2 linked regions of the Xenopus tropicalis genome follow. The protein of the gene in region 2 interacts with the protein of the main gene of each other region in a biochemical or structural test. Links are inferred from orthologs where the notes say so. Each region holds a gene or a part of one and is shown on either strand. Other genes may lie near its edges.

Region 1 (3,661 bases), on a different chromosome or scaffold from region 2:
GGCCACTTCAGCAACACTAACAATAAAAGAGGTACATGAACATTGATACAGAATGAGTGAATAAATTGTGCAGTCTATTACTAATAATTGAACCTGGGGCTTTTTCAAGGAAAATGCTTTTGGCTAACTAAATGTGTTTGTAGTTAATGTTGCATCACTTAGTACCTTCAAAGCGCATAACTCAGGAAAGATAACTGAACAGAGTGGTCTTAAAAGAAAATTGCTTTTTAGTGCTGAGTTATATACATAGATTAACTTCATTAATTCATTTTGCTAGTTAAAATGTACTTTGACTTGTTTCTTATGTAAGCAGAGTAACTAAATATATTGTATAGCTAGTGTGGAAAGGGTCACAGGGACTTCCAGTTCCTCACAGGTAGATATCATCTTTACTGGTTAAACTACATTGGGCTTCCTTAATGGTGTTACCTGTTTAAATTTAGCCAGGCAGTTTGTCTTTACCAAGAGGCTGCATTGCACCAATCACATGTGTGTCTTGGCATGCACATAGACCGATATAAAGATAACTTTTTCTGAAGAATGTGGTTACCCAGGAACCATAAATCTGTAGACCAAATGTTGTACTAAACAAGACTGAGCAGCTAACAACAAGTTTTTTTTTTTCCTTTTCATTCATTATGATATTTTATTAGAATGTACAAATTTATTTCACATGCAGCTGTTATGGGTCTCAGTATTTATTTCCATCTTTGCTTGATTGTTTCCAGGGGGATTTTGGTGCCGCAGCAATAAACCTGCAGACATGCTTGTGTGTTTTGGGACGCTCATTACCTGCCTCACGGTTTGATCTGGCATGCAGCCTTTCTTGGAACATCATTCGGTGTAGCCTGCAAAAGATCAGCCTTGTCCGTTGGCTGCTAAAACACTCCCCTGGGTACTGCAAAAAAGCAGAGTTTCAGGATGAGGCAACAACCAGTGCAAGGGATGCTGCCCTAGTATACCATAAACTGCACCAATTGCATCTGACAGGTAAAAACTACAAATAGCAGAAAAGTCTGGAAAAAAAGAATAGTAAAATATAGTAAAACGTTGCAATGCTGATCTTACATAAATGGAGAGGTTGTCACGGCTCTGTGTGTTTCCAATAATGCATCTTTTATTCATCATTATTATTATTAGGAGCACTAAAGGGTTGAAAGAAAGAGCTTTCTGTTTTCTGCTTAGCTTTACATAGTTACAGAAAAGAGGAAAACGTCAGAAATCAAAAATTGAGAAATTGAGCCATAGTCTCAATAATATCTAGAAAAGCAAATACATGTTTACCTTTAAATTGTGCTTCTGTCAGTGTCTAGGATATAAATAGGCATTCTCACTAAATCTCATCCTTAATTCCACTGCCACATGTCCAGGCCCCCTAGGGGGCCAACCCACAGTTTAGGAACCTCTGTTCTAAAGCATGCAGTATCACTAAAGTAGCAGTATCCAGGTTTCTTTAGGCAGTTTATTATTTATTGGTTGTGCTAGATCCATGAACAGTTTTTCTGTTAATTATTACACCATGTTTGGCAATTCAGTTTCGTAAATAATTTCTCAGCACTTTCAAGATCAATTCTTCAGAGAAGTTGTAGTATTTAGTGCACAGTTTGTCACAAAGCATATTGCATTCCTTCTTAATGAGTTTTTGTTTTTTTGTGCAGGGAAGCTGCCATCTAATTGGAATTGTTCAGGTCTCAACCTTGCTCTCTGTGCTGTAAACCTGGCCGAATGTGCTGGCAACAAGATCTCTCCAAATTTACTTGCAGAAATCCACCTAACTACAGCCATTCAAATGAAAACCAGTTTCCCAAGTAGATTCCGCTTTCTTACTGTAAGTTTAAAAAGTTTTATTTACAGTAAATATAAACCTGGATGAAATCTGTAATGATGGTGCTTAAAGCCAGAATGGTTCTGCTTCACACCACTTTAGTGATAGCATAGCTATATGCTCTAAAATCTTTTTTATTTTATTATTTTGGGCCTGTAACTATATATACCCATATGTATGTACTAACCCTCTGAAACATTGTGACTGAGAATATAGCACCTCATCAAAAGTTTTGGTACTTAAATCCTCTGTATTTTGCACTCCATTCTGCACTTTTTGTAGTTTCAGAATCAATTTATATGCAGACCTAATCCTTTATAATTCACACAGGCATATTTCCTTGGCTGTGCCCAAAATGCTTCTTCTGAGGAATCTCTTCCTGACCCCGTGCGATGGCTTGCGCATCCTTTGGGAAAATACTTTTTCATCAATTCTAACTGGGCTCTGAAGAGTGTGACTAAAGACTCTCTTTACACCTCAACAAGAAACCCAGGTACTTTATGGCCCAGTTAATGAGTGCGTATATCTTCTGAGAAATACAGTACATGTGGAGTCAACTGAAATAGTTCTAATGTTGGTATATGTTAATTGTAATAGCACATCCTACTGTGGTGATAAGCAACTGCAGATATTGGAAGATTTACAAATCCCAGTTAATGGAGAAGGAAAGGCTAAGTCACTTGGGGGTGCCAAAATGTTAGGCACCCCCAAGTGACCTTAATCGCTTACCTTTTACCCCGGGCTGGTGCCCCTGTTAGGAGAGAACTGCACCAGCCCGGGGTAGCTGCAGCAAGCGTCTCAATTTCCTTTGCGCGCTTGCGCATGCGCAGTAGAGCAAAAAGCCGAACTTTAACAAAAAAGTCAGCTTTTTCACTCTACTGCGCATGCGATGACCCAGGGATTCCATAGACAGAAGACATACGGAAGAGGAAATACTCTCTGCAACTACCCCAGGCTGGTGTGGTTTTCTTATAACGGGGGCACCAGCCCGGGGTAAAAGGTAAGCGATTAAAGTCACTTAGGGGTGCCTAACATTTTGGCACCCCCAATTGACTTAGCCTTTCCTTCTCCTTTAAGCTTAAGTTTAGTGCTGAAAATTCTACAGCATCAGTAGAACAAAAGGTTGCCTGTTCCTGTCATAACAAATGTATTCTGTTGGTTAACTTTTGTTAAATCGGGTGTTAATCTATTATAATGATCGATAAATCCAAATAAAGGGAAGTGTAGTTTAACTTCTTTGAAAGGGTTGCTGGGACTATAGTAACTAGCACTTTTAAGTGGAAACTTTTGACTGACACCTTTAAATTCTGCAATGCAGCTGATCCAGTTACACAGATTCATCGTGCTTTTTGTGAGTCTCTGCTGGAAAAAGCAATGTACACCATGGCGAAACCAGAAACCAGTAAAGCACCCCCTGAAGAGGAGAGTTGGTAGGTATTTAGGCAAAAATAAAATAAGCTCTTTTAAGGGATAGCAAAGTGCAGTAAAAAAACAACTAAGTGAAGGTATTAGGCATAGTAACCATAAGTTTGGTTTCAGTAGCATATGGGAAATAAAGGAAACTGAAGGATCTTTTCAATCCAGCAATTTTTAGAGGGAATCTTGTATTTTTCCTTAGTAACGTATTTGTAACATAAACTATTTGTTTTTCAGTGAGTTTTCCAGAGCTCAGGAATATTTAAAACTTCTCAGTGGGTTTGCAGATTCAGTGGGAAACATTGCCTCTCTTCCCCTCAGTGGATCTTCCCCCATGTCATCTGCAGGTAAAGCTTCTATGAAAAGAAAATTGCAACAAAATAATAGTTATGTGGTAGACATCTGTTTTCAAGGTACAGG
Region 2 (3,661 bases):
CCAAGTTTGTAAACCAGTCCAATTGACCTATACTAAGGCAGTAACTGGGCATTTGTTTTCAGGATAATTTGTAAGCATCAGAAAATATACAATCAGTTCCCCCCCACACTTATTTACTAAGTGGCACATTCATCTTGTGGTTATCTAGTCCCAGCCGGGGTGTGTGTACTCAGTATCTGAAGTGAGAAATAAATCATCTAATCTCTGTAGTGATAAAGTTTCTTGTAAAATGTCTCCTGGATCAAGAGGCCGATCACTTCACTTTTAGTTTGTGGGGTTTTTGAGCAATTATGGGAGGGGGGAAAATATAAAAGCTCTGGATCACCCCCATCCTTTCCCTTTAGAGATAGATAGCAAATAAACCAATAATAGTATATTGTCAGTCAGGTGATGTTTATGCACTTATAAAATCTATATAACTTAGGGCATCAGAAGTTGAATTCTGTCTCACCTGCATGAGTACATATGGTTTTTCCTAACACTCCTCCTGAAGAAACCCTTACAGCCATCGCAGCTGGAAGCCCCATAGTGTTTGCCAGTCGCTCTGTCACCACAAATGGCACACAGAGAGTTAACACCGATACTATTCGTGGCATTAAGACTTGTCACATCTGAGGGGGATGTATCTGTTGGAAGGAAGGGATTATAAAGAGTATTAGTATGTGCAAAAAATGTCCAACTAATATTAAATACACAAGAAGAGAATAGTAGAGAATAGTAGCGGTGGGGGGGATAATAGCCTCTGGGAAGGGACTGCGGCTGTGGGATAGCAGGTATAGTAGGGAGAGATGGTGTCTATAGTAGCAGTGGGGGGATAATAGCCCCTGGGAAGAGACTGTGACTGTGGGATAGCAGGTATAGTAGGGAGAGATGGTGCCTATAGTAGCAGTGGGGGGGATAATAGCCTCTGGGAAGGGACTGGGGCTGTGGGATAGCAGGTATAGTAGGGAGAGATGGTGCTTATAGTAGCTGTGGGGGGATAATAGCCTCTGGGAAGGGACTGTGGTTGTGGGATAGCAGGTATAGTAGGGAGAGATGGTGCCTATAGTAGCAGTGGGGGGGATAATAGCCTCTGGGAAGGGACTGGGGCTGTGGGATAGCAGGTATAGTAGGGACAGATGGTGCCTATGGTAGCAGTGGGGGATAATAGCCTCTAGGAAGGGACTGTGGCTGTGGGATAGCAGGTATAGTAGGGAGAGATGGTGCCTATAGTAGCAGTGGGGGGATAATAGCCTCTGGGAAGGGACTGTGGCATAGCAGGTATAGTAGGGAGAGATGGTGCCTATAGTAGCAGTGGGGGGGATAATAGCTTTTGGGAAGGGACTGGGGCTGTGGGATAGCAGGTATAGTAGGGAGAGTTGGTGCCTATAGTAGCAGTGGGGGGATAATAACCTCTGGGAAGGGACTGGGGCTGTGGGATAGCAGGTATAGTAGGGAGAGATGGTGCCTATAGTAGCAGTGGGATAATAGCTCTGGGAAGGGACTGGGGCTGTGGGATAGCAGGTATAGTAGGGAGAGTTGGTGCCTATAGTAGCAGTGGGGGGATAATAACCTCTGGGAAGGGACTGGGGCTGTGGGATAGCAGGTATAGTAGGGAGAGATGGTGCCTATAGTAGCAGTGGGGGGATAATAGCTCTGGGAAGGGACTGGGGCTGTGGGATAGCAGGTATAGTAGGGAGATATGGTGCCTATAATAGCAGTGGGGGGGATAATAGCCTCTGGGAAGGGACTGGGGCTGTGGGATAGCAGGTATAGTAGGGAGAGATGGTGCCTATAGTAGCAGTGGGGGGATAATAGCCTCTGGGAAGGGACTGTGGCTGTGGGATAGCAGGTATAGTAGGGAGAGATGGAGCCATAAAAGTGCTGATTACAAGGTAGGTAAAACCAGAAGCATTTCTACTTGGGCAAACTAATAAAATGGCACTGTGTTCTGCCTGTACAAGGTCATACACTGGGGTGGCCCAGTAGCACCAACAAGGGGTGGGCTGGAAAAGACAACATTAACACCAATAAAATGACTGGGGAAGTACAAATAAAAACATATCTTGCATAATTTATATTTCACAAGGAAGGACTGAACAAGTACTTGCAATTGAAAGAATTCCTCTGAAGACTAGATCATACAGGCTAAATATAGTCATCAATCTACCTCTCACTGGCTCTTGTTACTATAAAGCTATAGAACTGGGCATAGAATATGTGGCGCTCAGCAGAGAAAGTCCAAAAGAAGGGAAGCTCATTGACTCCTTTGCTAAAAAAAAATAGCAAGGGGTCAACAGTAACTTCCCATTGGTTGGAAAGAATCAGAGGATACATGCTATGTTCCATGCTATGAATGACACATATCATACATGAACTCACATTGTAAAAGCTTGTGTTGATGTGTTCCCCCTCTGACCTATTGTTCTTCATCATTCATTGGGCCAGCGGCCAGCCAAATCAGCCTGGTTTCTTCCACTACCTTGGTTGCCAAATCAGGCAAAGATCCTCTTGTGTGGTGATAGCACCAAAAAAGCAGAACTTTCATGTGTTTGGCCAACTTTGAATTTGGTGGTATAGTAAGTTGGACTATTTCCACCAAATTGGTCAATATCTTCTTATGTTTTTCCCTTTAGAACAAGAGTATTTCCACCTGACACGCTGGTACTTTTCTTAACCAAATCGTACAGGTGAATATGTGATTGGATGGCAAACTGGCTTGATGGTTCTGCAGCAACATCCAGCATCCAGCATAACATTTTTGTGCCATGGGGTGGGTTTAATGTTCTGAACCAAGACTTTACTCATCCCATGCCTTCCCAGTAGTTAGTAAAGGCACTTCAAATACAATGAACCCATCCAATGCCAAAAGTAGTTGATACCATCTTAAAAAGGATGCCAGACAAATTAGCATCCCTGCATGGCTAAAACTGGGCACCTTTTACCCCCATGCATATTAGTATAGTGACTATGATCCTACTGGTACTGGTTCTTTGCCAGTAGTTGGGACACCTATTTACTATATCCTGGCCAAATGCCAGTGCAAATGTGTGCAATGGAGATCTCAGAGTGAATGATCAGGTGAGATCATAATACTTTTACTGGGCTCTGTGGATGACTCCTTACTTGGATGCCACTGCACCAACTGGATAACAAGGGTTATGGCAATTCCAATAGGAGGCGGCAGTAATTAAACAAATGAGGGCCTGTACATAAATCTGTTTAATACATTCTCATGATGTTCTTATCAGATGTTTCAAAACCTATATTTTGCCCCTGGCATACATCCCTATGATTATTATTAATAATATTTATTTATAAAGCGGCACCATATCCCGCAGCGCTGTACAATAAGTGGGTTTCATACATGGGACATACAGAGTAACATATAAAGCAATCAATAACCGATACAAGAGGTGAAGAGAGCCCTGCCCAAAAGAACTTATGATGATGTGACAGGATTCCTTAGTTGTAGCAGGTACAAATAGGCTGAACTGGTTTCACTTTGCCATTTCCCTGACCTAACAAGTCATTCCAGCACTTTACTGCAACTTGGCAACTAATCAGAATACAAACCAACAAAATTCAACATCCGACAACATTTGACCAATAAAAAAATTCAGAGTAAAAGCCACAAAAGTTATGCAGGGAACTCAGGGTATCACTGATGTATGAGAAGGGG

Evidence for each region.
Region 1: the proteins of hnf4a (region 2) and srebf2 form a complex in vitro, tested with the Homo sapiens proteins (2 studies listed by BioGRID and IntAct). The link is inferred for Xenopus tropicalis from reciprocal best matches to the Homo sapiens genes HNF4A and SREBF2.

The regions. Positions count from the first base shown.
Region 1 is NC_030680.2:120,149,551-120,153,211, forward strand, and holds part of srebf2 (sterol regulatory element-binding protein 2), read left to right. Parts: intron 1-728; coding exon 729-990; intron 991-1,658; coding exon 1,659-1,828; intron 1,829-2,155; coding exon 2,156-2,318; intron 2,319-3,143; coding exon 3,144-3,255; intron 3,256-3,478; coding exon 3,479-3,588; intron 3,589-3,661.
Region 2 is NC_030686.2:38,457,762-38,461,422, forward strand, and holds part of hnf4a (hepatocyte nuclear factor 4-alpha), read right to left. Parts: intron 627-3,661; coding exon 452-626; intron 1-451. UniProt on the Homo sapiens protein: Transcriptional regulator which controls the expression of hepatic genes during the transition of endodermal cells to hepatic progenitor cells, facilitating the recruitment of RNA pol II to the promoters of target genes. Activates the transcription of CYP2C38.